4 linked regions of the Nothobranchius furzeri genome follow. The protein of the gene in region 2 purifies or fractionates together with the protein of the main gene of each other region. This does not show direct contact. Links are inferred from orthologs where the notes say so. Each region holds a gene or a part of one and is shown on either strand. Other genes may lie near its edges.

What was found. The genes of interacting proteins can lie anywhere in the genome.
Region 1: the proteins of srsf3b (region 2) and ncbp3 purify together in Homo sapiens (co-immunoprecipitation; 3 studies listed by BioGRID and IntAct, with this or other methods). This does not show direct contact. The link is inferred for Nothobranchius furzeri from reciprocal best matches to the Homo sapiens genes SRSF3 and NCBP3.
Region 3: the proteins of srsf3b (region 2) and larp1 purify together in Homo sapiens (co-immunoprecipitation; 3 studies listed by BioGRID and IntAct, with this or other methods). This does not show direct contact. The link is inferred for Nothobranchius furzeri from reciprocal best matches to the Homo sapiens genes SRSF3 and LARP1.
Region 4: the proteins of srsf3b (region 2) and srrm1 purify together in Homo sapiens (affinity purification with mass spectrometry; 3 studies listed by BioGRID and IntAct, with this or other methods). This does not show direct contact. The link is inferred for Nothobranchius furzeri from reciprocal best matches to the Homo sapiens genes SRSF3 and SRRM1.

The regions. Positions count from the first base shown.
Region 1 is NC_091750.1:26,048,825-26,056,928, forward strand, and holds the start of ncbp3 (nuclear cap-binding protein subunit 3), read right to left. Parts: upstream 4,488-8,104; 5' UTR 3,953-4,487; coding exon 3,776-3,952; intron 3,450-3,775; coding exon 3,384-3,449; intron 2,652-3,383; coding exon 2,546-2,651; intron 2,460-2,545; coding exon 2,334-2,459; intron 2,226-2,333; coding exon 2,100-2,225; intron 2,018-2,099; coding exon 1,878-2,017; intron 1,799-1,877; coding exon 1,690-1,798; intron 1-1,689. UniProt on the Homo sapiens protein: Associates with NCBP1/CBP80 to form an alternative cap-binding complex (CBC) which plays a key role in mRNA export. NCBP3 serves as adapter protein linking the capped RNAs (m7GpppG-capped RNA) to NCBP1/CBP80.
Region 2 is NC_091743.1:46,708,936-46,716,865, forward strand, and holds srsf3b (serine/arginine-rich splicing factor 3b), read right to left. Parts: upstream 5,383-7,930; 5' UTR 5,247-5,382; intron 4,580-5,246; 5' UTR 4,572-4,579; coding exon 4,369-4,571; intron 4,274-4,368; coding exon 4,133-4,273; intron 2,410-4,132; coding exon 2,371-2,409; intron 2,238-2,370; coding exon 2,151-2,237; intron 1,984-2,150; coding exon 1,956-1,983; 3' UTR 1,434-1,955; downstream 1-1,433. UniProt on the Homo sapiens protein: Splicing factor, which binds the consensus motif 5'-C[ACU][AU]C[ACU][AC]C-3' within pre-mRNA and promotes specific exons inclusion during alternative splicing.
Region 3 is NC_091750.1:54,200,006-54,207,927, reverse strand, and holds the start of larp1 (la-related protein 1), read right to left. Parts: upstream 4,488-7,922; 5' UTR 4,255-4,487; coding exon 3,885-4,254; intron 1-3,884. UniProt on the Homo sapiens protein: RNA-binding protein that regulates the translation of specific target mRNA species downstream of the mTORC1 complex, in function of growth signals and nutrient availability.
Region 4 is NC_091758.1:35,725,807-35,733,660, forward strand, and holds the start of srrm1 (serine/arginine repetitive matrix protein 1), read right to left. Parts: upstream 4,488-7,854; 5' UTR 4,381-4,487; coding exon 4,360-4,380; intron 3,736-4,359; coding exon 3,646-3,735; intron 3,041-3,645; coding exon 2,918-3,040; intron 2,680-2,917; exon of another isoform or gene 2,553-2,679; intron 672-2,552; coding exon 501-671; intron 143-500; coding exon 48-142; intron 1-47. Other genes in the region: tdh2 (L-threonine dehydrogenase 2), read right to left, coding at 6,744-6,889, 7,180-7,449, 7,527-7,617. UniProt on the Homo sapiens protein: Part of pre- and post-splicing multiprotein mRNP complexes. As a component of the minor spliceosome, involved in the splicing of U12-type introns in pre-mRNAs. Involved in numerous pre-mRNA processing events.

The sequences.
Region 1 (8,104 bases), on a different chromosome or scaffold from region 2:
GCAGAGAAGTCCGCTGCATCTCCAGAGAGAGTTAAGATGGCGCTCGCGCGGGTGCACGCTGCAAGCTGCTCGTCCTCTTTACGCAGTGGTACCTTGCTTTTTACTGGCTTTTATTGGCTTTTATGCATTTTTGTTGTCTCTGATGCTTTTTTTGAAAGGTGTGGATCCTCTGCTGACTTATGATCGAGCCGCGCTGCTGAGGCTTCATCCTCCCGTTGATGTAGCGGGCTCCGCGAGCTGGGAACCTCACGGATGGCGCTGCTGGTCGGACTGCCCGTGTGCTCTCTCCCCCCAAGCCGTGATGTGTCGGCCCTCTGTCCGCCCCAGCTCGAGAAGGAAGCATCGGAGAAGACGGGGAAAGAGAGGTAGCCGGCGCGTGAGACGTCGGCCTGGGCCCCTGAAGAAGCGGCTGGCCCGATTCGGCCCAGCTTCTGACCCGGTGGTTCCGAGATGTCTCCTGGATTACTCGGCACCCTGCCCAGGGAACTTGGCCGGCTCTGAGGGTGAACTGGCACCGCGCCACGGCCGATCGGCTCGAAGATCTCGCCAGACTGGGGTTTGCTGGGAGAATCTGCGCTCGGTTACGGGCACAGAGTTAAAGGAGACTGTGCTCGTGCGCGATCTCGGCGCTGCAGCCCCGCCGCAGACCCGATTTGGTCTGGTCAATGCCAGGTCTGTGCTGAACAAAACTTTTATACTTCTGGATTTTTTTATTCAGCATGGCTTGGGTTTTCTCTGCATCTGTGAGTCCTGGATCCCGTTTGGTGACTCAAGCGCCCTGCTGGAGCTGGTACCACCTGGCTGCTCCTGCCAGTCATCACTGCGTCGCCTACAGGTTGTGCAGAAGAGCGCAGCCAGGTTCCTGACAGGGACCAGGAAACGGGACCACATCAGTCCGGTTCTGGCCTCCCTGCACTGGCTTCCGGTTTGCTATCGCTCACAATTCAAAATCCTCGTCTTTGTTTATCATTTCTTCCAGGGTGCTGCTCCCCCCTATCTGGCCACTCTCCTGAACAAACATTCCCCATCACGCGCTCTGCGCTCCTCTGAACAAGGCCTGCTCGCTGTCCCTCGTTCTAGGTGTCGTACTCGCGGGGACCGGGCTTTCTCAGTCCTAGCACCATCTCTCTGGAACCAGTTGCCACCCTCAGTTATGGGCCATTCCCATCTGTACCGGGTCGGCCCGGGCCGGGTAGCCCCAGTCGGCCCCAGCCTGGCCCGGTTGATTCCACACATCCTTGTCTTAAGACCATGTGGGCTGATTCTACCCACCAATCAGAGGCTTGCTCTAATGGAAGGTGTGAATTTGCTGTCAGCAGTGGGCGTGTTGGCCCTGGTCGGCCTGAAGCAGACCCCCTCGAGAAGAGGGCTGAGAATGAGCCTTGGTTGGCCCGGAAAAATACCAGGCCACCCAGATATGATATGGGCCGTTCCCATCTGTACCGGGTCGGTCCGGGCCGGGTAGCATTTGTTATTCACTATATTTGTACTTCTACTGTGCCATGTTCAGCGCCTTGGGCTTCCTGACAGGGTTGCGGAAGGCGCTTTATAAATAAAGCTTTGATTGATTGATGGATTGAATAAAAGTGGTCCGAGCAGTCTTGCTTTTGGAGACTGTGTGTGTGTGTGTGTGTGTGTGTGTGTGTGTGTGTGTGTGTGTGTGTGTGTGTGTGTGTGTGTGTATGAGACCTTGTGTAGCAAAGCGCAGAAACAGTTTGTTTCCTTTAAACGGTTTGATGGCAGGTCTCAGCTCGTTCCTCAGCAGCGACTCCCTCTCAGCTGCTGACAAGTCGTCCACCTGACAAAAACCGCTGAGTCAGTCATTGGTGACACACAAACTGCTGAGTCACTTTGTGACATCACAGTAAACGCTCTACCTGGCCACCATCCACCTTCCTGTTCTGGTCCACTTCTTCATCACCATTCTTCTTCACCTCCTCTTCCACCTCTCCCTCCTCCTCCTCCTCTTCATCATCATCATCATCATCCTCTTCTTCCGACCCTCGAACCCGTCGAGCTGTGATGTTAAAACAGATTAGATTACCTATAATGCACCACACCTTCATGACATGTTCAGTTCAGTCGTGACTCAGACCCACTTTTGTTCCGTTTGCCCGGCTGCTCGCTGGACTCCGTCTCCGTGACAACAACCTCTGGTGTGGGCATCTGGCTGGAGTTGATGAGAGCTCTGATACAGGTGTCATCATCCAGCCAAACTACGTTACCTAGGCGACAACAGGACAGGTGAGATGCTGCTGAGCAGCACTGCTGTCCTGGACCTCTGCTCTGATTGGAGCAGAACGCATTTTGTTACTCTCATGTTCGTTACTCACAGGAAGTGTCATTGATCCACTCAATGTGGGCTGGAGGATACTCCCTGAAGTACCCGAACACATCCTGCGTGCTCATGTCGTCCACACCACTCACATGGATCGCCTCCATCCGCAGTTTAAAGATGGCTGAGCACCACAGAAGAAGAAAGCTACAGTTCCATAAACCCAAGCAGACTGCTGTTAATGATTTGAAACAGAACACCGGCTCACACCTTTCTTCATGGCATCTTTATCCAGGAAGACGTTCCTCTGACCAACGCTCTCCTCACAGCGGAAGTGGAAACGTCTTGCTCGTTTCTCTTTCCTCTCAAACGCTTCCTGACAAACAAAACCTACAATCAGATACCCGAGACTTGAAGATCACTTTTACAACTGAAATCATTAACAATGATCAAATATGAGCTAAAAGTGTTTCCTGATTATGTTCAGATTTCACAAAATGACCTGAGCTTGTCCTTTATGAGAGCAACATTTACAATCAACAGGAACAGACAAGAAACAACAAACCAGCACCTGCTGTCGCTGAAGTACAGGTGGTACGTGACATCACAGCATTGCATTCTGGGTACTTGAGGCTACATGGGCATAAGTGAACTACCAGCTGCTGTTCCAGAGAAGACGGCGTTCCCAACAGACAACTCGAAGATGGGTGGCGATTATCTAGAGCAACCTAACCCTAACCCAGCGGTCAGAGGAGGATTGGGTTGTGGACTGACGACCCTGCTCAAACCAGTAAGCCGTAGATCTGTTAGTCTGAGCCTTCATCATCTGGAATGTTTAAAATGACGTGGTTTTATCTGAGCGGTGGTCACTGCTGATCCTTGCTCCCATCCATCATGAGGTATGGCAAGCTGTTGTGTGTCACATGAGAAGCACCGCTGTACCTGGCACAGGAGGAGAAGCTCGAACAACTAGTTCTCAGATGAAAGCTCGCCCTTCCCAGAATGTGCTCCTAATCATGAAGAAGCCTCAGCTTGTTAGACCTGCTCGCAGGATGCACTAAAACATCCAGGAGTGTTTCTCCAGCTCAGGTGTGTCCGGTTCCGGTACCTTCGAGTTCACGTCTATCCCGGTGATGAACGCTCCGGCCTTGTTCTCGTACCTCCGGCTGGTGTCCTGAAAACAGCAGATCCAGAATCAGCCTGAGGAGCTTTCCCGGGGGGAGCCCTCACCTTGTATTGTTTACGTTTGTGTCATCTACCCTTGACAGAAACAAACAAACTCCTGGCTTTTATTCATCTCTCGGACTACAAACAAGTAGATTTTAAATTGTGATTTTTCTTCATTAACGAAACCTTTGACTTCAAAGCCATTAAACGGAGACAGAAACCGCGGTTGCTAACCGGGGAGAGCCGCTGCTTCAGCGCCGGCGCCTCCCGCTGCTCGGCCGGCGGGAGGCACACGCGAGTCCCCGGTCTATCGAGGCCTAGTCGGAAACTTACCGGGAGCAGCTCCTTCAGAGAGCGGTTAACCGAGATGTCCTCCGCCTCCAGCTCTCCCTCCTCCACCTCCATTGGTTCGGCCTCACGGGCATCTCGATCTGACTCGGAGTCTGAGTTCGGTTCCGAGCGATCCGAACCGCTGTCTGATTTAACCTGTAAACTGCGCACTGCCGCCATGGCGCTAACTGCAGCAAACAACCGCAGGTGGTGCTGCGCTGAATCCTGCGACAATTCAGCGCGCTTCTTCTTCTACGGTGCAATTTTTTTTAAACAATCTTTATTGACACATTTGCAGCAGACAAGACATAATATATTGACAAAACAACATCGATGTACAGGGTGTGATACATTGACAAACAGAGAAGAAAAAGAAAACACTGTTAATGAAAGTAAACATAAATAATTATATACAAACAAAATAACATAAAATAAAACAAAATTCCACTAATACATTACCTTGTAATATGGGGCATAATAGAATTCATCAAGTTGCATATTTTCACAGCTTTCTTGTTTTTACTAATTCTACGTACAGTCTCATGAAAAAAATTAAGAACAATATAAAATAAAGTTACATTTGGTATAGTCTGTAGAAATCTGACTTTATGAATGTGAAATTTACCCAACAGACACAGCAATTTTATTACATTGTTAACTTCCTTGTTACATTTAACGTTTAAGAATAAGACCATACTTTCATTAAAAGTAATCAATATTTTATGAGAATCCCAAACTAATGAAGACAATTGATTCCAAAACTGTACAACTAAAGGACAACCATAAAACAAATGAGTAAGAGACTCAACACCTGTTTTGCAAAAGGAACATAAAGGGGACACATCAGGTCTAAATCTATTAATAAATTCATTACACGGATTATATCTATGTAAGATTTTCAAGTGTATTTCTTTAACTTTATTGGGGACAAAAAATTTCTGAACCTCAGAAAAGGCATTGCTACTGATGTCAGGAAACATTACCCTCCAACGATGTAATGAATTTGGAACCTGACTATATAGAGAGGTGAAAACGGCTCTAATGTGAGCATTGTTACATGAGTGCTCTTCAAGAAGCTTTCCACCAAGACACAGTGCAGGAATCCTTCCTGTGTAAGGTGTATACTGAACAGGAGCTCTGACAAGAGACAGTAAATGAACAGGAATGCTTTGGAGGATTCTAGAGTGCATAGCGAGAGATGTGTTGAACCCCTTTCGTTGGATGAATTCATCATAGGTAGCTAGGTCCCGTTATCATTCAAAAGATCAAACACAAACATAACACCTTGATCATACCAGTCTTTGTAAAACAGAGTCTTGTTCTTGTGAGCAATATGTTGATTGTTCCATAAAGTACATGTGTGAGGGGAAAAGTTGTGTTTGAAAGCCATTTTCCAAGTGTCCAGGGCTTGTTTGTGAAAGTTGGCCAGTTCAATAGGCAGTTTATCTGAGGTAAAGTTGCATGAAAGCAAGAACTTTAAACCGCCACATTTGTTAACCAAAAAAATTGGGAATAAAAAACCATGGTTCATTATTATGTGAAAGACAATGTTTTAACCAATTAATTTTGAATATATTGTTGATAGTTTGGAAATCCAATACATTAAGACCCCCCTCTGAAATGTGTCTAATAAGTGTTTTCCTCTTTACATATTCATTTTTATGTTTCCAAATAAACTTAAATAAGAGTGAATCAATAGCTGCACAGGTTTTCCTATCAACATATAAAAATAAAGCTGGGTATACTAACCTGGATAATCCTTCAGCCTTGGAGAGTAAAACACGACCTATAATGGTAAGATCCCTCTGTAGCCAGCAATTAAAGACAGATTTAGATTTCTCAATTTTAGGGTTGAAGTTTTTTGAAATTCTTTCACTAGAGGATTTGCTTAATGTGATAACCAAATATTTAACTTCTTTTTTAACCTCTATGCCATCTATTGATACGGTGTCTAAATCATGTATGGCTAATATTTCACATTTTCTCTTATTAACTGTGAGACCAGAAGCATCCGAGAACCTGTTTAAAGCTTTAATAATAACAGGGACTTGAAGATCATTTTGAAGAAAAAGGCTGGTATGACTGGCCAGCTTACTGATGGTTAGAACATCTTGACCTGTTTTAATACCTTTTACATTCACACAGTTAACAATGAAAAGATTAAGAAGTTCAGCAGCTTTCAAGAATAAGAAAGGGGAAATAGGACACCCTTGTCTTATTCCACGCTTCACATCAAAGCGAGGAGAGGTACCATGTGCAAGACATACACAGCTATTAACATTAGTGTAAAGAGTGATTATTATGTTCCTGAAGTATTATTTGAACCCAAAATAATGTAAAGCCTCAAAAATAAATGAGTGCTCCACAGTATCAAAAGGTTTGTAGAAGTCCAAAAATAAAATCAATGACTTTTCATCAAACAAATGTCCATAATCTAAAATATCTAAAACAAGCCTGATATTGTTAGAGATGTGTCGACCTTTCATAAATCCTGACTGCGTTACAGAGATAATTTCTTCCAAGCAAAATTTTAGTCTATTTGCGTATAGTGATGCAAGTATTTTATAGTCTGAATTTAGTAACGTTATAGGACGTCAATTATCCAAATAATGTAGATCAGGTTTGGGAATTAAGGATATTACACCTTGCTTCATAGAGACAGTCAGTTCCATATTTTTGGCACAATCCATGAAGGCTTCTAACAACATATATTTTAAGTCATCCCAAAAGGTTTGGTAAAATTCATAAGGCAACCCATGGGGGCCTGGACTTTTATTAGATGGCTTTTTTGTAATAGTCTTCTTCAGTTCTTCAAGCGTAGTTTGACTTTCACAAAGCTCACAATTCTCCCCGGAAATTTTAGGAATGAATGGGGAGATACAATCAAAAAAATCCTGAGAGGCTTGAGGCACAAACAAGGATGAGTATCTTCTGATAAAAGTTAGAGATAAAGGAAGAAATTTCATTTTCATCTTTTGAGAGATTGTCATTAACCCTTTGATGCATGAATTATGAAATCTTCAACCATGATTTTTTTAAACAATGTTTTTCATTCATCTTTAGGTGTGAATGAAACAAATTTCATATTTACATATTTTTTGTAAAATGTAATTTACAAATAATTTATTACATGTCCACCTCAGTGGACAGTGTGCAATCTGAACATGAAATATGTTGGCTTGACTTACTGAAGTACAAATGGAGGGGTTCAAATGCAATAAAGTCTTCAACAGCTGTGCTTTATAGCAAAAATAAATAAATAACAATTTTAATTATCTGTCCACTGTAGTGACCATTATCCATCAAAGTGTTAATATATCAAGTAGATATTTTTCTTGCCTCTCCACGTTTTTTCTCCAGATTAAAAAAGAAGGTTGAGTTTTTTCTCCGTGTTCCAACCATCTAGCCCGAGACCTTATAAAAGCCCCCCTTGCCTTTTTCTGGAAATAAAGGTCTAATTTTCCCCTTAATGAGTGCAAACGCACTTTATCTTCCTTACTGAGAACAGGTATACTTAAAATTTCATTAAACTCTTTTAAATAATTAGTATAAGCTTTATTCTGATCTCTTATTTGTTGCTTTCCAAAGCGTATTGAGAAGCGCTAACATTCAAATGTGAAAACTCCCATTTTAGGGTAGGTGTAATTTCAGACATTGAATTGAATTTAGTGGCAATTTTTTTTAATGCCCAAGCAGTAATCATCTGTTTGTAGCAAGGAAGAGTTTAATTCCCTTTTCTTTTTCTTTTGTGTGTGTGTGTGTGAGTGTGTGTGTGTGTGTGTGTGGGTGTGTGTGTGTGTGTGTGTGTGTGTGTGTGTGTGTGTGTGTGTGTGTGTGTGTGTGTGTGTGTGTGTGTGTGTGTGTGTGTGTGTGTCCTGTCTGGCTGTGAAGCAAACAGAATTGATGTCTGAATGCTGGTGACAAGCCTTACAGATTTACTCTCAGGTGGAGCATCAAAGCATCTGCTTTTAATGTCACGCCTGATACTTAAAACTTTATTGTTATTGTTTTTGAATGCTTTGTAATTCTGACCAGACACGGAAACAGAGGTGAAAGGGAAAGGAAAAGACAAAAGATAGGGGGAAAGGCGGGGGTGGGGGGGGTGGGGGGGGGTGGGGGTTCCACAAAAATAAACAATAATGAACAAGAATCTGCTTCTAGACCTGCAGAAAGAGAGAAGAAGAAAAAAATGGGACACAACAACAATACAACAAGATCAAGCTATCACTGCATCAACTTGATGAAGAAATATATAATCACAATTGTTTAACTGAACAATCACACAATAATAAATCACAGTGCATTAAGTGCCCACCATAGCCTTAGACCTGT
Region 2 (7,930 bases):
GTTAAATAACGCCCTTTTATAGTCACCTGTCTGCTGGACACCTCTTAAATGAATCAATAGACTCACCTGTGGTTGAATGCCTGTTAATTCAAATTTTGGAATTTTAAGTGTGGCTTTTCTCCTAAGACTATATTTGGGGTGTACTCGTTTTTGTAACATGACCTTGAATGGATTTGTTAGGAAAAAACATTTTTGTGTGCAAATGAACAAATCTTGATTGCAATCAATGTCCCACATATGTAGGAATATTTTTGAGTATGGTATCCTATAGAAAAGGTTGATTCTGAAAGGAAACTTAAGGCTTTTTGACAAATGTAATGGGGTGTACTCATTTATGCTGAGCACTGTATAAAGCCATGTAAAGAATAGCTTCTCCTGTTTACACTCGTAGTTTAGAAATATTTATATACAGTAGATGAAGTTCTCGCCCTGCATGTTTTACGATTGTCTGCTTTAATACGTCTGATCTATTCAGTGAATGATTTGGGTGTTTTTGCACATGTATGAACTGTAGCACATACTGTATACATACAGTACGTTTTTATTAAAAAATTTGTTAAGGGTCAACTAGATTCTAGCTTTGTGCCAGCAGTCCATGATTTGATGGTCGTATCTGCAAAGTATAATTTCATACAGCAGAAAAACCAACTTGACCCATAATTGTAAATGTTTACGCTATGTGACAATTTACATTAATGTGTTCGGCAAAACTGGGTTGAATAAAGCTGTAATATTTATCAGTCAGCTCTAGTGCTTCATTGTATTTCTAAGGTGTATTGTTCTTGTCGTATCTGCTTCTCTCTAGAGACAATGGACAAAAGGAGATAACAGATGCCACCATAGGACAGGTTAGTGGAAGGTTCTTAATGCAGTTAGATGCTCTAGTACAAGGGTATCAATATGCGATCATTAAATCCTAATCCAGCCCTCAGCAAATATAAATGTAACATCTCAAAACTTTTGTTGGAAGATTTAATGTTTCAGTGTCCTCACCAATAAAGGGTTCATGCTCCAAAACATTGCTGAAATTCAGATGAGACCACTGGATTCAAACAAACCAGGCTTTATTTTGATGACCATTTAACTGAAAGTTAAGTCGAACTTAAGAGTTAGCCTGGAAAGGACATCTACTTCCTTTAAAGAGCACCCTCATCTCTTTTCTGTAAAAGTCCCAATGTTATTATAAATGTATGCCTTTACTCATGGAAAGATGCCAGTTAGCCATTTAAATGATTTATACTTTTTTCAATTCTGTAAAAAAAATATAATTTTAATTTGTGCCCTCACCTGGCCACCCCAAAAACCATTTTCCAGACACCACTGGGGCGGAATGAGGCATCTTTGTTTCTGAGACACTGAGCTGATGCCCTCTTGTGGACAAAACTTTAAACTAAAACCAAAAACTATTTGGGGGGAAATAAATTCACATTACATTCTTGACAAAACCAGATTTTTATTTGAGACTAGTTTATATCATATGAAAAAAAAACACACACACAATGATGTAAAACTTAATAGTCAACTATCTGACTTGTGTTGACTACACTTCTGAATAAACGTCATAGTTTTGCTTCTTGGACAACAAAATGATACAAGTTGAAAACAGGTGGGCTTCACACAAAAAGGGATAATTGAGCATCTCCAAATCTTTATGAAAACAAAATGTTTGCACTTACAGTGAAAAAGACAATCCACATTGTCAAACCACAGAAACATTTAACTGGTGAAAAATTGAAGCTTAAGGAGGTTAACGCTGGAATGCAGGGCATGACAGACTGGTGATGTACACACCCAGTCAATGCATCTGAAAGCAACTCTAAAGAAAAGGAGGGACACTAAAATGATTGTTAAAAAAACAAATGACTATCACATGGTCATGCTGACAACCACCTCAACAATGGATGAGCCTGTACAAACGTTCCATCTTCAGCTCCCTTTACACCTAATGGATTATTTTATCTTCGGTCATTAGACCTGGAACGGCTGTGGGCAAAGACAAGATGTCCATTAGGTAAAGCTTTTAAAAACATGATGCTTTATGGAATACTCTATAGAAACACGAGAAAATCAGGTTTTAAGACTGAACCATTTCTAGCGCTCACAAACTAGACATTTGTTTTACTTGAGACATAAACTAAAGCTCTCAGTACCTCCTTGATCGGGAGAAGGACCTGGAGGGCTTGTGGTTCCTGTCCCGGGAGAGGGACCTCTCTCTCCTCCTTTCTCTAGACAAAGACCTGAAAATAAATAAAGCTCCGATTTAGTAGGTTAAATAAACAGTTCAGCACCCAGACCAGTGTTTCACCATCATGTTGGTGACAACATGACTTTTCCTGCATGAACGAGACCGACCCTTTAAAGTTCACATACCTGCTTCGGCTGCGGCTCAAGCTCCGCCTGCGAGGAGATCTGCACAAGGAAAATCAAAGTGTTATAACCCCAAACAAATGCTGTCATCGACCTGTAGATCTCATACTGGACTCGCAGCACAGCCCACTATTATTTTACTAATTTAAGAGCAGTAAATGTTTTCCCCCTCTCAGAAAAATGTATCAGAAAATAGCCACTGGCAGTAAACCTAGCACATAAAGATGGCAGGTGTCAAGTAATCTCCTCTCACCTATCCCACAGTACAATGAGTAACTTTTGTAATTGTAATAAGTACTGTCTAATGAATCCCATTAATAATTTAAGAGGGTTTGGGCTCTGAGAAGAGCAAACACTGTACTGTGGACTGGCCCGTGTGTGAAAAATAAGAACGTACAGGGGCCACCATCTGTATGAAACTGGTTCACTTCAAAAGAAATACCTAAACAAAAATGGAGGCTAGTAAAGATGTATATGTCACAGGAAATAAATTGAGAAAAAAACCAGGTTAAAATGTCGCCGCCAACACCACAATCATAGACTGAGTCATAGAAAGGCTTGAGTTTTGGATGGTGTGTGTATCAAGTAAAAGAACATTAGCTATCATATCAAAACCTCTGGAAACATGACGTTCCAGATATTTGATATAAAATCATTCCTGTTTGAAAAATAGTGGATAATAAAACGACAAACCAATAAATGAGATAAAGAAATAACCTTTTCAAACCAGCTGTTTCTTCAGTGTTAAAACTGTAATCTGCAGTGTACTGAATGAAGCAGGAAAACTTACTAGTATTTTTGGATTTCAACAAGCTAGATATGACGAAAGGGAGGCAGACTGTCGGCCGGGTAGGTAGAATTGGCTGAATGGGACTGGCCGGATGCTGCAAGGTGATTAGATGGCAGGCAGATGGGGGCTGGTTGTGGCTTTATTCCTGCTTTAATTGGTAAGCCGAAGGCTGCTGCCGGTAGGTTGTAGACTTTTGGGAACATAATACGCTGATTGGTCGGGAATGTGATGTGGGCCGCTGCCGTTTGGTTAAAGGTTGAAGGAGAAGGAGGTTGAGAACGGCATGCTGAGGAACCAATGGGCTGGTGCAACCTGACGACTGGCCATGCCTGGGTCATGTGACAGCACAAGCCAAGCTGATTGGGGCCCGATGGTCAGCAGTCACATGATGCTGAAAGAAGACTAGTTGACTGACTCAGAGGGTGGTGAGAAGAGGCATGGTGGTGGCTCTGCAACGGGTTTCATTCTTATTAATATAGATAAAAAGTATAAAGCATCCTCAAACAAAAAAAAGGAATTTTTCACAACACATTTGGCACTTTCATCCACCAAAATCTTTAAACAAGTCATATTTTTATGAATAAAGCCCTTTCTTTTCTGCCTAAACCTGATTCACAGCCCTATTTTGCCACCTTAAGTCTTAACATTTTAAGCACACAACAGTACACACTTCAAAGAAGTATTTATGTCTGAAGCAAAAGTCACATTTTGCGTGACACTTAAGCAGCTTTCAACATAGAGGCTACATTGTCAAAAACAATGTCCTGTCTAAAAGGCATAATTCTGTAATTGGATCAAATACCTGTTTGGCTGGTTGTACTAAATGACTAATGCCAATGAGGATGAAACTGCAAGGCTTTGATAGACCAACAGTCACCAATGTTATCAGCAGGAAAGAGATGGATGAGTAAATCAGCAAGAATGTTAAAAATACAATTTATCTCTATTGTCTGTTATCAAATACACTTAGGTCACCTTCGTCGGGGAGGCGGGCTACGACGTCGATAGTCATCTCGGTCTCGAATACGCCTGCCCCACGAAGGGGGAGCTCCACGGCTACGGTTACGTTTTTCTCCATTGGACAGCTCCACTCGAACTCGGCAACCACAAAGTGACCTGGTGGCCAATCACAAAGGGCAGAGGTCGTTAGCTCCTGCAGAACTAATTCAGATGCCCTCTGCGTTTACAGCAAAATATACATCTACACTCACCTTCCATCAAGCTCTCGAACTGCATCAGTTGCATCTCGAGGGTCTTCAAACTCCACAAAGGCAAAACCTGGGGGGTTCCTGGCCACCCAGACACTGCGGAGGGGGCCGTAGTAGCCAAAAGCTCTCTCTAGCTCCGTCTTGTTTCCATTGTTGCCCAAATTTCCAACGTAGACTTTACAGTCTAGGGGACAGTCTCGATGCATGACTGGAGCTGAGATCAACAGCAAAGAGAAAAATGGGAAGCAGTTAGATCCGTTAGGCGAAAACCGCATTGTTTCTCTTCCTGTTGCACAAATTAGGAATGATATGTTAGATAGTTTTAAATGAAGAAAATCATACTAGGATGTTTTAAATGAAGAAAATCGTACTAGGATGGTAAAAATATAGCCCATGTAAACACAGTAATGTGATAAAAGACAGGCCTTTAATCTAGATGCATGTACAAAAGTGTTCTGTGACCCGATAAAACATTTTAATATCTTATTAGAAATAAATAAATTCAACCCCAGGCTGAACAAGAATACATGACCTAGTTTCCGTTAGCGATAAGTGCTAACATTAGCAAGCACGGAAACCAAATCATGAATTAGGCGTTACCAATGAAACCAAACTCGCTTTAGTTTCCAATGAACCGAAACAAACAAATCAACATATACAAACATTTAGGAAAAAACTCGGCAGAGTAAATGTCGGCGCTAATAGCTGTAAAAATAAGATGGCTGCCGTCTTTCCGCGGCCTACTCTCGGCTAGAGGCGCTCTAAATCAACCCGAACAATGAAACCATGTGCACGTAGTTAAAAAAACACGCGCCCCGAAATTTGTTTCTTCTAAGTAAGCTCCATATCATAAACAATGAATGTATTAAAACAAGCAGTACCGTTTTTTGATTGAAGTTACAGCTCTGAGCAAAAACGCTTCTCCCACACGTTAGAGCTCCTCGGTTGGTCGAGGGAAAATGGAGTGACGGAACAGACGCTGGTCTGCGGATATATTCACCCGGAAGTTGCAGGGAGCGGGCAAGGCGGGATGTTTCCTGCTCTAAAGGTTTGGCTCCTACTCTAAATACCTTTTTTGAATACCTTTCATCATTTCAGTCATCGAGATGACTCGATAATACACGTTGGGCATTTTACTGACTCTTGAAAGATTTGTTTCAAACGCCAAATGAGGTGAGCTACAATACCATATATGGCCACATGAGGAAATTAGTGACGCTGTTTTCTAAACGTTTTAGAAAGAACTCAACCTAAATTCGATTATCATTAATAAAGTTAATATTTACAGTTCGTTATAAATCAAAACAACATCATATTACAGAAACTGCAACTTAGCAATAAGTGTGAATTAGATATAGACATTAAATACCAATGTGAAAAGAAGATATGATTAACCAAATACCACCAAATAAAAATTATGGCCCCTCATTTTTTTAAATTTAGAATCTGAAAATCCTCAAGATATTATTATTATTACTGTTATTATTATTGCTTTAACGTTTAAAAGTTCAAAGTTATGCCGCACTATTAAACTATTCTGTAAAAGTAGCATTATAAATATTAACTGTATACTGAAAATTACCGGAAGCCAGTGTAAAGTGGTTTGGTGTGATATTATCACTACAAATGTATTACTTCACTGACAGATAACAGATCTTCTGAGCACAAGTCACCCATGTCCCAAAGTCACGATATGTAAAGATTTATGAGCATGTCAATGTTCTTGGAAAAATAATAACAGCATTTTAACCAGAAAAGCACATTTTAGAATTTAGAAAAACAAATGAGATAGACATCTTTTCCCAACGAAGTCAGTCTATTTTTACCTAAACAGCATAAAGCACAGTTTGCTTATCTTAGAAAAGGCACTGAAGCAGTAGAAAAAGGTTTAACCACTGGATCAGCCTGTTTCAAGTCCTATTCTTTCAACTATGGGCACAAGTGACAGACAGTGATGACTGATGCCCTTTCAATGATAAACATTGTCACCTGGTATCTTTAATAAAACAGTCTTCTAAGCATTGTGAACATTGGGCAACATTCCAAAGTAAATGTTCTAATTTTCTTTTGGAATGTGCTGCAGGCCTGCATGACAGGTTTCATTATTATTTTTAATGTAAGTAAACAACATGGAGTAGATCTGCTGCTCCTCCACATCGAGTGGAGTCAGTTGATGCGGCCCTGGAAGCCTCCCTGGTGAGGTTTTCCGGGCACATCCAACCGAGAGAAAACCTAAAGGGAGGCCTGGGACACGTTGGAGGGATTATGCCTCTCACCTGGCCAGGGAATGCATTTGGGTTCCTCCGGAAGAGCTGCTCAAGTGGCTGGGGAGAGGGAAGTCTTAAGAATTACATTTTTTTAAGAATTCTGACTTTAAATCTCAGCAAAAAAAAAAAAAAAAAAAAAAAAACCAGTCAAAATTATGAGCAAAAAGTCAGAATACTCATTTTCTTTTCAGTGGCCTTGATCCTCTTCTGTGGTAACACTTCTCAAGACTGAATTTTGACTAAAAATTATGAAGATTCCAGATGAACACCATCACAAATACCAGTTTGACTGCAACATATGTGAAATGTTGTGATAGCTGCAATAAACCTTTTTATTTCAAAATAAGTAGGTTTGTGTCCTTTCCACTTACTAAACACGTTGCTACTGTGTTTCAGTACATTTATTATCGTTGCTTGCATTGCTAAAACTAATGATCTTGGTCACTGGGCCCAACGTCTAGCAAATTCTACTGATTTCCCAGCTTGCATGGTCAACACTGTGAAGTTGTGTCAGTCAGCATTCCCAGACATGAACTACAATTTCCAATGGAAATAAGACCCAGCATAACAGCAGCAGGAGTGCCCTTCCTCATGTAATTTCTGACGACAATGAACGTGAAAACTCCATGATTATGAATGGGTAAGTTGGTGGGACCAGCTGCACATACTGATTACGCAGGCTCGATCTGGTTTTAAAAAATGCAACACGGTGGCAGCACCCATGAACTATACTTACCCTGAATACCTTTTTCAACAAAGGAAGAAAGTGGATATGCATGCTTGGTTTATCTTTTTCCACGTCTTGAGAGGAGCCATGAGCAGAGGTATGCTTTCAAAAAGCTGGTGTACTTCAATGTATCACTTTGTTCTGTGGAATTGGGGAGTCACTTCCTGTTTGAAAAGACGATTGAATGAAAATCAATAATTCGAAACGAACATGATTTTCTTCTTATAATAAAGCTCAATGTTATAGTACGGGTCGTATGAAGACACTGCGTTTGCCTTTATGTGATATACATGAGAAAGTAAGTGATCTAAATGAAAAATGAGAGGGTTTTTTAAAAGGACGTGTTGGTTTTCCCACGCACCATGAATGCAGCTCAGTCCCAGTAGTTTGTTGGTAGCCGCCTACAAAGTTACTCAGCTCAGCCTGGTTGCGACAGCTGAGCAGGGAAGCGGCGCGACTACAGCCTACGCAACCCAACTGAGATATTCATCAGCTCCAAATCAAAGTCCGATAATCGTTATCTCTTACGTATTGATGTTATTTACGTACGCGTTATCTAAAAGCCGCTCTT
Region 3 (7,922 bases), on a different chromosome or scaffold from region 2:
AAAAAATTGATAAATTATTACTGTAAGAGAATAAACACTACAGGCCTTCCATTTTGTATAACACTGCTTTTATTGTGTTGGTTGGTTATGTTCTGGTGACGTGTAGAACTTGGGAGTGCAGGCTGTTGCCTGAGAGGTGGTAGAAGATGGAGTGTCTCCATGCTGCTTTGTTTTGGTCACTTATGTGCGTGAGGCGAGTGGTCTTACGGGTTAAACCAAACTCAGGTGATATTTTACACTAAACCGAAAACCCACATCACTCTAAATGTAATAAAAGGGAGATCTACACCACAAAAAAGATGAACTCTAAACCAAAACGTAACAGCTTATCCCAACGCAAGAAGCTGTTAGCGAAGATGCTAACAGTAGCTTTACCAACATTAAGTTCAAGTTACCAAGTTTAAATAAACCAAAAACACCCAGCAGCAAACAGACCAGCACGGAGGAGAGACTGCTACCACCAAAACAGCTCTCCTCATGTCTGAAAGAAGCTCCTTAATGAAGGGAGAAACGCTCCCAGTGATTTTCTACATCTGCGGTAGGCACGAAGCAGCGCATCTGACCCCGGAAGTTGTTGTCCGTTGCCGGGAGACGAAGGGGCAAAACAGGAAAATAATCTAGTAGAGGACGGACGTTGTTCCGGGTCTTCGGTATTTGGCGGAGATGTTAGTGAAGGCGGAGAAGAAGGCGAACTAGAGGAAAAGCAGGCAGATTCCTCCTCTATTTACAAACTCCTGAGGATGCAACAAGTGGGCGCGGTGCGTCAACTTCCGGATCTGACGTCGACAAATTTTTAGAATCGAGCCGTCGACTTCGTCGAGGCTTCGCTACAGCCCTAACTTGCAGTGCTTTATTTATTTTTTGGGGGGGGGTCACAAGAACACCAGCCCTACTGTAAAGCATGGAGGTGGAAAAATTATGCTTTGGGGGAACATTCCTGCAGGGGAACAGGACGACTGCATTGCATTAAAGATGAATGAGGCAGCGGTTTGTGAGATTTTGAGAAACAAAATTCTTCCCTCAGTCAAGGGCATTGAAGATATGTCGTGCTGGGTCTTCCAACATGACAATAACCTGAAGCACACAGACTGATAACCAAGGAGTGGCTCTGTAAGAAGCATATCAAGGCTCTGGAGTGGTTTAGACACTTTCCAGACCTAAATCCACTAGAAGATCTTTGGAGGAAACTGAAACTCCTTGTTGCTCAGCGACAGCCGTGAAACCTGACAGATCTAGATGAGATCTGTGTGTGTGGAGGAGTGGGCTACAATCCTTATGTGCAACACAAATAAATTCTTTAAAATACATACAATGTGATTTCCTGAAAGTTTTAAATGCTGTCTTACAGTAGGAATGCTCCTACAGTGTGAACCTCAGACCCCTCTATGATTTCTAATTAGGAGAACTTGCAAAATCGCAGGGTGTTCAAATACTTTAGTTCCTCCATGTATGTGTATTTGATCAGAGCAGAAAAACTGCACAACTGTACATCTTTGGCATGCACACATTTTCAATAATTTTGTGCCAAATGAACATAAATATGGGATATTACAGATTATTTGTCATTTTCAAAGGCAGCCTTGAATGAAGTGTGTGAGGGAAAAGCTGACAGTTGCAGCTGGTAATGTTACACATCCCGTTTCTAAACATAGAACATGGTTGACAGCAAAACAACAGGGTGCAGAATTTTACCCACCAGTATTTCTAAAAATCACTCAAATTCTAAATAAATGCTGCCCATTTGGAAAAATAAAACCTTTGAGAACAACTTTTCTGCACACAGAACCAACAAACCAGGTCATCATGTGCATTTTAACATCTTTTGGCTTTCAAATACAACAAAAACAAAGAGTGCCTCTACTGCCTGGTTGGCCCAACCAGTCTGTGTTAATGTGACAGCGTTTGGAGCCAATTCGCTCAGATCCTGGGTACAGTCTGTACCATGAAGTTTGCAAAGGTTACACGTACTTCATAGCTGCAAACAAACCCATCTGGAACAAACACAAAAAACAGAAAATCCAGGCTGCTAGCAGGTCACAGCTACAGCATGTTAGCTAAAACCTGAAAATACTAAAAAATTAAAGTGGTTTAACCACAAAACAAAGCTCCACATAAGCACTACACAACAAACAAGGAAAAGTGTTTCTTGAAGCTAAAACATGAATTGTAATAAGGTTCGGAAGTAAACAAATGACTACGATGATCAATCAATAAAAACGTTTATTATAAAGACCAGTGCATGATTTGAGCTTCTGTCATTACTATGATTTGGTAGAGGTTTTGTGCTGATCCAAACCATGTTTATACTCTTGACAGCCAGTTTGCTTATGTAGTCGTTTATTTTTTTTACATTTGCGTTTGAATTGTGAGGTCATTTTTTTCATAGATGACATTTATGAGTACTCCTGGAGAGTTAACAGTTTAAATCACTTTTGTTTTGTGTTATTTAAACGAGCAAAATCTTGTTGTCTTGGGATACAATAATGCTGAGGTGGTGTCGCCCAGCACTAGATATTTAGCCATATGTATCTGCACCTTAACACTGACTTTTCTCTACAATCACCATTTTTGTTAGTTTTGATCAGTCGGTTTTTATTGTAGCACAACTTCACAAGGTATCCAAAAGAAACAGGTAATAGTAACTACAGCGTCCTTAAGTAGAGGTAATGATGACTCTGCTGAATTGCTAACAAGCTAACGTTAGCTAGCAGTGTGAACCAACAGACAGGACCTCGGTTTGTCCTGACAACAGATACACGACATGACAGCTGGCTCTGTGACCACTAGACAGGCAGACTGTCTCAAATTTTATGCTCTAAACTAAATTGTAGCTTCAGACTCGATGCAGTAACTCGGCTAACTAGTTAGCACCATGCTTTTTCTCTCGGGGAACACGTGGAATGAGCACGTGACGCCTCACAACAATCCTGCTTCTTTTAAGCTATTAAACGAGTAAATGTTTGGTTTTATTGCATCGAAAACGGATCCCAGATAGGCAGAGCAACTGTTTTGATTTTCTCGCCGTAGCTAGATGTGGGAAAGCAGCCACACTGAAGCAAGGCTGAGTGGGAAGGGTTTGGCGACAGACTAGGCCAAAGGGGAGTCTGTGTGCTATTGTTAGCCGGCTGAGCTGCTACACAATCCGTACTGGCTCGAGTTTTAGTCTGCTAACTGATGCAATGAGGGCGTCTTAGTCAGATAATGGCTGGCGTGATGGGTTTGCTCTAAACGAACATGTAAACACAAGCAAAAACTAGTCTAAACACTCGGCTAAGCCGATGGGAGTGCGTGCGTGTGTTTAGAATCAAAGCAGCAATACATGAGCAAAGCACGAAGACACAAGAGCTGTTAGCATGTCCCCTTTAAAATAAAGTATCAAGTGTTTGCAAGCAGAATGCATATTACTAGAATGCTAGAATCCACGGTCCCCGAATGGAAACGACTGCACGTTGTGTGGTGTGATGACACAAACATTCACATCCACAGCACAAAGAGCTTAATTAGTAAAGTACACCTTTCAAAGTGTGTTAGAAGATGACTGTTTAGACCTTAAGTCATGCTAAAAGTAAACAAGAGCCATTATGACTCACTACTCATAGAGCGACGTCAAATCGTTGAATATTTGGAGTATTTTAATTGTTTTCAAAGGGTGTGCCTACTTATACAGTCTGCCACCCATTGACCCCAAGAATAGCCTTCACTGTGAGGGGGAGGATGGGGGTTTAACTCCAAATATGAGAGTGACAGCGCTGGGAGTCTTTTTAATTGGCTATTTGAATAAAAGCTAAGTGAGCCATCGGATGAAAGCGACCAAACGTGACCATAGAGACACCAAGAAGAGAAGAGTGACAGCTGAGAGATGAACATGTTTGGAGGGTACCGACCGGTGTGCGCTTGTCCGTTCACGCTGACCACGGTCACCGCATTCATTTTCCTAGTCCACGGGTTCACCTTGGGCGGGGGAGCTTCGGTAAACTCCTTCCTGCTGTTGTCTTTTACACCCTCCTCGCTTTGCTTGCCTTCGCTGTCACCTCCGTCTTTGCTCTGCTCTACCGCCCGTTTGGAGGTCTGCTCCTCCGCGCCGGTGGTCCCTCCCTGAACGGAGCTGCTATCGGTGACACCAGTCTGCAGTTGCTGGGCCCCCTCATCCCGACTGCCCTCCAACTCCTCCGGCTCACCGTCTATCATTTTACCGTGCTCCTCCGCTGTGGCAAGCGGGTTGCCGGGCAGGAGAGCCTCCACCTGAGTGGCCATTTCCGACCAACCGTCGTTCTTCCCCCTTCAGGATTATTAACTCCCCCTTTTTGGTCCGATTTAGCTTTCAATTTCAGGGAACGGTGAAGTTGTTCCGCGCGGTCTGCTGCTCCTCTGTCGCCCCTCGACCAAAAGAGCTTCAGCCTAAGACGCGGAGCAGTCAGCGCCGAGTTAAAACATGTAAAAACTACAGAAACGTGTCAGTGGGCCTCTCAGGATTACAACCTTATCACCACCACTAGCAGCAATATGGATGATCTCTACCACGCGATAGAGGAGTGCGCGCACGTACGCTGTGGAGGAGGAGTAGCCACGTAAACGCAGGGAGCGCGCTTCAGGATGATGCTTTCAGGAGCTATTCGTAAAAAATCGTGTCTGCAAAGTTGCAGTCTGTAACTTCTTTGAGAATCGAAAATGTATCGGAGTTTTATGGGTTTTTTTTGGTTGTTTTAAGGCTCATAATTCTCTTTGAATCATTTGGCCATCTTGAATTATGTTTATGTTACTTAAAGACTGATTTAAGTCGAATGTAATTGCTTGTGCATACTGCGAACAGTCCATTGTCTTTATGTCTAACATTTTTTTTTATCTTGTTTGTTTTCATCTTATCTGTATGTTGCTCTTTGGTGTAATTGTGTCTGTTGCTGCTGCCTCTTGGCCAGATCGCCATAAACGAGAATGAGTTCTCAATCAACTCATCTAGTTAAATAAAGGTTAAATAAAAATAAATAAAATTTTGTGTAAAAGTTATTGATAGTAAAAATAGATTTCTGAACAGCAGAGAAACAGAGTTTACACCCTTAAAGACTGATGAGCTAGCAGCTAGTTGGAACGCTGCCGAGATCAAAGTATTTTGGTGCGTTAAAACAGCTTCATGTGAATGTTATTTTATGGACATCTAGACTACATTTAATTTCACTTGATAATGATGTTTTGCATAAATTAAGATCAAAGACAAATTTCTTTGCAGGAGCAGAAGTGACAAGTCTTAGTTTCCAAGTGCTATTACATATTATACTTAACATTCATAGTTTATATTTTCTCTCTCTCACTCTTGGTTCATTGAATCATTATCGATTTGCAATCAGGTAATGGATTTTTTTTGCCTATAGTTTGTTTTCATAAGATGAATAAAATAAATCTTGAGACCAATATGACTTTTTTTATTGGACCTGGTGAGAAATGTAATATTGTATAGTTTGCTAATATTGTGTAGTATAGTTTTAAAAAGTTCCTAAAATAACTTGTATAAGCCACACTAAAATGTCATTTACTTTAAAGGTAGTTTCAAAGATTTACTGAGAAATTTTTGGAAAGTTCTTTAGAGCATTTTTTATTTATTTAGTGGAGTCATATCCACTATTGCATATCTAATAATATCACAAAAAGTATTTGGTACACGCAGCTTGGGGTTCAGACAAGATTCAAATACTTCCACGTCAAAGATTTCCGATGAAGTTGAACGCAGCATTAATCCCGTCAGTCCAGAACTTCCTTTACCAGTCCGAAACGCTCATTTTTTAGCACACCTTCTACTTTGTTCAACATCATGAGTATTGTGTAACGCTTACTTGTCTGTCAGGAGTGTGTTTGAGTTTATTTTCACTTCAGCTCTCCGTTAGAAAAAGCGAGCAAAAGAATACGAACCCCCCTTAAACCAAAAACACACACATCACACACGTGTTCATTTCGAAGGCGCACGTGTTTGAAGTGCGCGCTGATTCACGTTTTTCTGTTTTTCTCCCCCCGAAGCTTCATGTTCGGATCCTCACCGGCTAGTACTAAGTTTTGGTCGACTCAAGTCCATGGGACTGAGTTTTATTGGTTATTTTTGTTAATTGGATCCAGTGAGAAACTCAGCTGATGTCTGATTTTCTAAGCAAAAAGGTTCAAGTTAAGGAACACCACAAATCTTTGACTTTTCATAACTAGTTTTTAGAATATATGAAAATGCATTTTAAAATCCATCTACTGTACATCTGTTGGCCACTTCAGGTACACCTTACTGAGTTGGACCCACTTTAACCTTGAGAACTGCCTTTTCTCACCAAGGTGTTAGATATGTTCTACAGAGATTCTGGTTCATATTGAGAAGATAGCATCACAATTAAATCAATTAGTCTCCTGTTCAGCATCCCAAAAGGTCTGGACTGCATTGAGATCTTGTGACTCTTGGTGTTGCTGAAATAACTCATCTTCTTGTTCAAGAAGCCAGTTAGAGATGATCCGAGTTGTGTGACATGGTGCATTATCCTGCTGAAAGTAGCCTTCAGAAGATTGGTCCACTGTGGTCATAGAGGGATGGACAACCACTGTGATTACCTTAAAGCTACTATAGCAAATGTGGAAAACAAATAAGCTTAAAACATTTTCTTTGTGCCTCTTTACGTTCTAACATAGTATACTGTAGCTATAAATATTTTGTGGAGTTAAAAAATTTTTATAAAGGTGTTCTCTCGCATTTGTCTAAAAACCTCTGCTAATAACACGGCTCGAATGAAAACAACTATTGGACCATCCAGTTGTCGGTCTGCCGAACCACTGCACAATCTCAGGTCCTCCATTCAATACACACTTGCGTATTTAGAAACAGAACACCACTGTTGTGAGAGGTTCTGCGCTCAATAGAATCAGAGAAGGAGAAACAGCCACTAACCCCAACCCTCCATTTCAACTTTAAGACGTAATTTTCACTTTAGAAGTGAGGGGGACACGGGGGAAGGGGAGGAGGGGGGGGGGGGGGGCGTATCTTTACAGTATGCTCTAATGGGAAACAGGCTTCAACACAAACGGTTGTTTTCGGCTTGGTCCTATAGCTCAACCAGTGTCAATTTAATATAGCGTAATATTGTTTTTGGATGGTAAAAAGTGCAGGGGCCAAAACTTGACTTTGGAAAAATTGGGGGGGACATGTCCCCCATGTCAACCCAACCCAATTGACATGTCCCCCATGACCCCCCCCCCCAAAAAAAAAATTACGTCCATGAGACAAGCAACCAGAGTACAAAAAAGTAAAACACCATTTGAAGTTAAGGACAACAAAAGACCTTTGGACGTAGAAAACCAACTCAATCTCACACCCAAAGCGGCGAAAAATGACACTGGGTGACCAAGTGTTTGTTTTTGACGCGCTGTGCCAGAGTGTCGGTTTCCGACTGCCACGGTAAAACGGAGATTTCACAGAATTCTCACATTTACACTTTTGCTATTTAACCTTCCCCTCACCCCCATCCTAACCTTAACCCTCTTGCGCTTTCAAAACTTTGTTCCTAGTTGTTATGTTCCTCTCCAACACAGTTAACAGGAACTTTAGAATGAGCAACAGGTTTAAGGTTTACAATGGGGGTAAGGGGAAGATTAAATAGCAAGAGGTTAGAGGTTAAATGTAGGTGAAATGTGCGTTTTATCGCGGGTGTCAGAAACTGACATTCTGGCAAAGAGTGGAAAAAAATGCTTGGTCACCCAGCGTCATTTTTCAACACTTCGGGTGTGAGAATGTGTTGAGAAAACAGTGACTGGTGTTTTGTGCCTTTTTGTTTCCTCTCTGGCAATGCAGGTTTCCAATTCCAGCAGAAGTCTCTCAGGGAAGATACCCGAGGAGAGGGGTGAACGTTCCGTGGCCATGTTTGCATTTAAAATCTTGCTTGTTCTGTAAATTTGCTATAGCA
Region 4 (7,854 bases), on a different chromosome or scaffold from region 2:
TAACAACAGAAGAAGTTTGATTCACATTTAAAACAAAAACCTCCCACCTTCTTGGGCTCTTGGACTGAGCCCTCTCTCTGGTGTCTTTATCCTTCTTGTCCTCATCCACCTTTCTCAGGGAAGCCAGTTTCTCTTGTTCAATCTGTCAAATATTAAACTATAGCTGAATAATATACTAACAAACATGGACAACTCGGACTAAGCTGCCGTTTTCAAAATAAAATGTACCTCAAGTGTAAAATTTTGTGTTTTCCAAAACGTTCTCCATCAGGATTAAAACGTATTATTTACCTGATTAATTACATTGTCAACGTTGTATAGGGGTGGCAATAAATACATTTTATTGAATAAGATGAATTTGTTTTTTATGAAGATTTTATTTTGGATAAAATAAAATTTTACATGCATTCTTTTTACTCCATTTATAGTGTCTGTTTATCCCGTAAAGTCTGAGGAAGTGCACTTTCATATAAAGTTCTGAGGTTCTAAAGACGCATCACCTGTCTCTGTCGGATTTCCTCCTTCTTCTGTTCCAGGAAAGCAGACGGGATGCCAGCAATGTTCTCCTGGGCACTCAGCAGCAGGGGCCACAGGTCTCCCATGAACTCACGGGCGTTCTTGCCATTCAGAAACCCTGTCAGGTTGATCTGCATCATCTTACTATCAGGATGCTGCAACATACACAATAAAGGGGGAAAGAAAAAGAGACAAAGCCGTTGAAATAATAGAAAACATAAAAAGGAGGCAGGGTCCCACACATGGGGCTTCCCACCATCTATCCCTGTCTAGACTAAACCTGGGATAATCTAGCTAACCAGATCTAAATCATACACAATGCCGTCTACAATACTGGACTCAGAAACTTTTAATTAATTATTTACTCAGTCTGTACTGAACTCTTGAAACTGAGAATGCAAGTTAGCTGAGGGGAGACATTTCTAGCAATGTAAACAAAAAACTGCATGCAATAATTCTGTTGTAAATCCCTAAATAATTTTAAAATAATCAGCATTTTGTGATCATATTTGTACTACTGCTCTACTTTTTACCCCGCCCCATTTGCCCCAGTCTCCCCACAGTCTACACTTCAGGGGTTAAACAAATAACCACAATACAGAGTGCATCAAAACCCAACACTGCAAGTACAGTTCCGGTGTCTTCAGTGAGTCCCGTGGGATCAGTGGGCACGGAGCTCCATTGGCTTGCTTCCGCCTCCCTACTGCTTGAGACTCAACCACCATGAGCTTAATGTTATATCATTTATCTAAATTGCAAGAGACGAACAAGCAATAATGAGTACAGTTACACACAAACTTTATTTTTTATTAAAACAAGTGTTAAAACTAGCCAAACTGTAATCTCTATTCTATCACAAAATCCACTTCACCCCAGTTAGCTTTAAGAACTAGGAAAAAACAAAAATAGAATAGAAATTATGTAAACATCATACTAGTATCATTTATACACAATTACATTTCTATTAGCAGAAAAGAGCCAAAGTTCAAAAGAAGGCCAGTTTGAATAGATGCCAAAACTTGCAATCAGGTACTTTGGGAACTTAAGTATTCTGACGTTATTCCTCAGGCTGATTTAGCAAAAGAACAAAAAATGTTATATTTGCAAGTTATTGGTCACTATGCAGAGGTCTCACATGCTTAAGAGGTTACCACTGGATCATAAAAGTTTTTAAAAAGTCTAAAACTAGAAAGTATTTAAAAATAAAATAACATACATGGTAAAGAAGAGACATAAATGAATATTCTGAAATGATTACAAATCAGGTTTTATAGCAATAAGCTGAAAAGTATTGTTTCTGTAGAAAATCTCGTTTGTGCTGACCTCCTGTGGTTGAAGTTCTCTACTTGCAATAGTAATGCACTCTGCTCGCCTTCAACACAGACCATAAACGGTTTCCATCAACATATTTTTCATTTCTATTTTGAGTTTTATGAAATATTTCAGGTTTATTAGAATAAAACTGTTCATCCTGTAAAATTATAAACTAACAGAGTTATTTGGGGAAAACCATGCATAAATAAATAAAAGTTTTGGCAAAAAGGGAAACAAAAGAAGCATCTAATTTAGCTTGTTTTATTTGTTTCTGGCTGCTGGCGTTTTTAATTCTCAGCCTTCCCCAACAGAACTGAAAAATATTCTTTCTACACATCTTCATTTATTAACTCAAAGAAATGCAGCATGTACCTCATGTAGGTCAACATCTATGAGATTTGTTTAAAATAGACAACTTGATGGAAACGCAGCAACTCTCGAGTGCAGTTAAATAAAAGTGCAACAGAATGCACGTTATACTCAACAGAAGTGCAACTGATGCAAAACTTGCAATCAGGGGTGGTCAGTGAGACAATACTTTTCAGGGTTAAAACAAATTTTTATTTTTTATACTTAAAAATAAACCATGGCATTTTCTAAACCCTTTTCTGGATTAATGAAGGTAGTTGGCATCTAAAAATGCCTACGGAGAATATGATAATGGAACTGTTCAGTTGTGTCTTTCACTGACAAGATGTAGATGATCCCTATATACAACTCACCTCAAAACACACACTGCATCATGAAGGGAGAGTTGGGCTCAGAGACTTTGGGCTCAGGAGAGAGCTAATTAGATGTTGGTGCTATACTTCTGATGCAAGGTATAACATCCATATTGGTTCAGGCCTTTTAAATCATAAATCACATCATCATTAGAAGACTGCTAAATAAAAAGGCACGTTGTCACATAACAGCAAAACAAGATCTACACAAATAAACCAACTATTTTTTACTTTACCCATTCATTCTCAGTTTGACTAGGATGTGCATTTATTTTACTAACATCCCTTCTTGCTGGCTAAGCAATGCCCTGAATTACAACAGCTCTGACAGAAAAAAAATAAAACAAACAGAGGAAAAACAATACCTTCTCTTCAAGTTGGTTGAATATGAACTCAATGACCACATCATCCTCAAAGCCAAGAATCTCTGTCACACGTTGGGTAATCCACGGTTTGATGACTTCCAAGTTGACTTTGGTCATGTCCACCTGAGAAAAAACAGGCAAGTCAATATTTTTAAAAAGTGATCATCTTTATACTCATTTTATTGGAATAAGCAGCATTACACAGGCACTCAGATGCAATTACCAAATGCATTTATGCAAAATAGTCACATTAATGGGTTATATCTATTACAGATGTCAGGTCACACAAGGAACAGACTTATTTGGGATTTTTACTTGGGTATTTGCCACAAATCCAACCTCTACAACAAATCCTATTCAAAATAAAATATTGACGTACACAAGCAGATTACATATGGAGAAGTAAGATATGTCTCAGCGGCCCTAAAAGAAAATTTTTGTTTTCATTTAACATTCAGAACAGAAAAACCTCTGATTGTTACGGTTTGTCTGGGATATGATGAATAGGTCAGAGGTCTCCAAAGCGCTTTACACTACAGTGTATCACTCATCCAATCACACACACATTCACATGCCGATGGTGATGAGCTACAATGTAGCCACAACTGTCCTGGGGCTCAATGATAAAAATGAGGTGCTACCGGTCCCTCTGACCACCACATGTTTGGATGCTATATGATGAGAAATAACCAGAATAACAGTTTAATCACCATCAGGAGATCACATACCTTCTTGTCCAAACATTCTGCAAATTTCAGCTGCTTCAGTAGTTTTTTCTGCTTGTTGCTGAAACGGTTGTCCTGCTCCGCACTCGTACCCTAAAATATTCAACAGATAGAAATTAGTGTATTCGGGTTACACATGACACTGAACTAGCAACAAGCTAGCTAGCCGGTTGCTAAGTACTAACAAGGAAGATTACATTAGCAAGAAAGCGGTGTCAACGATAACAGCGTCGATATAAATGTGCTCTTAAAGGTCTGAATGGTGTCAGTCTTCAATAAGCCGAAAGTTAAATGTACCAAAGTAACGTTGGCGTAACATGGTCGTGACTAGCTCGTTTAGGCACAACACCGGGCGCCATCTTAAGCCAAGGCCAACAATTTAGCTGCACGGACCTGTCTAATTCCTGAGAAGACTATATGAAAATTATACCAAAAATGCTGAGATGCGTTAGTAAAATAACATAACACGGGCTCAAAATAATACAATTATCAGTTTCATAAAAACAATACTAATTTCCAAATTAGCTACATTGAAAAGAGGACTGACTACAAATAGCAGAATCGTTCAAAATCAGTTGATAGACGGAGCCATTACCGCACCGCTTCTATCAAGTGTGGCCCTCGACCAAACTGTAAACGGGATATTAATGCCAATTTATTAACATTCAGCGCGACACAAATTTATAAAAATGATAGATGTTTGTTTCAAACACTCACGCGGAAGAATCCCGCGTCCATTCTCGGTGAAAATCGATTGTTTCAAGCGCTGCGGAGAAAGAAGTGCGTCCCTCTGGTGAAGCTCGAGTGGCCAGCCGGATGCAGAGTGAGCCCCTACAGGATGTAACGAGTACTGCGCTTGCCCGCGTCATTTTTTATTTCTTTCCACTTATTGACAATTCTTATTTTTTACATTAATTTCTAAATATATCAGTTTCATATTTTATTCAGTTCATACATTTTTTATTCCGTTTTTATATATTTAAAAGTACTTTACTGTAAACCATATACATTGAATACATGAAACCTCTAAGTGGCATTTATTAGGACTGGTATATTTAGAAAACAAGGAGTCAGAATCTTCACCATCTCCATGGTTTGGGGGTACAGTTACACTCCCTCTGCAAGGGGCGAGGGTTGCTATGTTGGTTTGGTTCCCCTGTGCTTGGTAGCCCTTTGTGGAGTTTAGGCCAATGGGGAATGGGGTTGTCTGGCTCCTGGCTGACCTGCATTGGCGTGATGATGATGTGCTGGGCTTGGGACTCCAGGACTGACAGCCCCAAGTGGGTTCCCGTTGGCTGGAGGCTGGTGTCCTTTCGTCCTCAGGCTGGTTCCCCTTCTTGCCCAGGTTGGGTTCATCCCATCATCTGGGATGGCTGAATAGTGTTGGTTCTTTGGGAGCTGTTGGTTGTTGGAGAATTTGTGGCCACCTAGATCTGCTGCTGGTAGGACCTGGGCTGGCATGGAGCAGCTCCTCCCTCATAACATAGACAGTATTTTTTTAAACACTCCTGGTGACAAATCTTCATACAGACATTCCAATACATACTAGCAGATATCAACCAATATCAACTGGATGCATCACAGGTTGTCCTGGATGAAGGTAAATGGCAGATTAGTCTGTAGCCTGATTATTTCTTTGCAGAAAACTTGGATATCACATAAACCTTTCAGTTTGTTCACAAAGTTTCTACCGACATGTAAAAGACATGGTTTTAACACAAGGAGAGCCTCCCAAGTAACCTTTACCCTTCCATTGCCAAAAACGAATGCCCTCAAGAGAAGTCATTTACAGAGCTGTTTCATATTGGAATATCCGGCCTCCAGGAGTGGCATTAATAAATAATCATGGCAGATTCAAGAAAATTCTTAAGACTTTGGTCATCCATAACAACTTAAAACTAAATGACTGATGTGGGCTTTTAAATTAGTTTTTAATCAATTTCCCTCTGGGATTAATAAAGTATTTTTGAATTGAATTGAATTGAATTATAGTTATTAACTGGCCGGGGGTGGGGGTGGGGTGGGGTGGGGGGGGTGTTGGTATTTTCTTATTTGAATGATTTTATCTTTGCTGAATTTTCTTATTAATGGATACATTTGTTTAAATGTTTTGTATGTTCTTTTTCTTACACTGTATATGTACTATTGTAAATGTTTTTTAATGATGTGGACCCCAGGAAGAATAGTCTTCACTATGGTGAAGACTAATGGGGATCCTTAAATAAACAAATAGTAGACCAATACACAGACACACACACACACACACACACACACACACACACACACCAAAAATCATTAAAAACAACCATATATTTTCTTTACTAATAATTTATGGATTATGCACATATTGGAAACAATAAATAATTTTTTTTCTGTGATCATTAAATTTTTACCACAAAATGCACATCTTTGAAATATTGTACAAAAGTCTGTTTATTTTGTCTAAACAACACTTGAATTATCTGTGATTATTAGTAAGTCTTAGTTCCACATACACTGCATTTTATACATTTTTTTATTCCAATGCATATCATATTATTTTCGAACCAAAGTCACTCTAGAGCCTAAAAATAATTTTCAAAATATGTAACAAGAGTAATTGCATGTATAACATCTGAGTGATGTGTTATTTTTACATTATAGTCTCTGGCATCTTACAAAATAATGTTCAGTGAAACAGGCAGAATACAGCATGGTAGTCCAGACTGATGTGAGCGAGCCATTCCAGTGAACACCTGGTCCACGTTGCCTTGGACACACACTGCTACAATGTGTTGTGGTCATGCATTAAAATATGTTAAAACCCCAGTTGAGGCACTTTCTCATGTGTAAAGTGAAATAATGCAATAACAAATAGAAACAACAAAGATGAGGATATGTAACAATGTATGATTCCCTGAATTAGACTGCGAAATCCTGACTTTGTAGATGAGTATGACATATTGAGAAGTTCTGACTGAGAATTCTTTATTTACAATCAACTTCTAAAAGATTGGCGTGATTATGCAGGAACAAATACTGGAAACTGCTGGGGAAAACCAATGGTAAACGAAAGAAGGTCATCCATGGAGCTTGGGTCGGTCTTTGTAGGGAAGGTTTTGCTAGCTGACTGGAAAGCCCTCGATGATCCTCTTGTCGCGAACAGATTTCAGCATATCTGACACGAGTTCCTCAAGCCCAAAGGCCGGCTTCCAGCCCCAGTCCCTCCTGGCATTAGTGTCGTCAAATCTCACAGGCCAGCTGTCAGCTGCAAAGTGACAAAATATCTTATAGCTGTGTTACTTTCACAATACTGTTCCAGCTTTCACCCTCCCACTGTCTTTATGGGCGACCCTGCAAGGAAAGTTGACCATGGAGCAGGATTGATGGTTTATCCTTTGAGGTCTACGTGGCAGGGGTGAGGTGGTGCTCACTCCTCACCCCTGCCACATGAACCCCAAGGGATAAACCATCAACCCTGCTCAATGGTCAACTTTCCTCGCAGGGTCACACCCATTAGGGCCGTGGGAGGGTTAATTAGTTAAATTATCATCATACCGATTGTCTGGCGCACAGAGTCTGGATTGTAAGTGACCTTAAGGTGAGGGAGATGCTTGCGGATTTCTTGGGCCACCTCCTCTGGGGTGAAGCTCATGGCATCTATGTTGTAGGTCCGCAGCGATAGCTGGCACTCTGGAGCCTGCATGTACTCCACAGTGGCACGGTGGCAGTCTGAGATGTGCATCATGGGAAGTCGGGTGTCAGGACGCAGGTAGCACACATGGTGACCTGTACTTAGAGCATCATGGAAGATCTGAACGGCATAGTCTGTGACAAAACGAAGTTTAAATTTATGCCGATGACATCCAGATGATTAGAGCGTGAGATTGTGAGGTGAGAAATACCTGTCGTTCCTCCACCAGGGTGGGTGTTCACTGATATCACACCAGGGTAACGCAGGCAGCGGAAGTCCAAACCGTATTTGTGATGGAGATACTGCAGAAACAATAGCCTTTAAAGCTGCAATGGCATAGCTGCACACATAAAACTAATGGTTTTCATGCCTCTTGATAAATGTTCTAACTAGTATAATGATAATATATTGTGGAGATGGAAAAAAGAAAGAATAAACTATGAAGTGGTTCTCTCGCATTTGTCTAAAAATCTCAGTCAATAATATGGCTCGGTCCAAAACCAATGCCTGGACCATCCAGTTGTCAGTCTCACCGAACC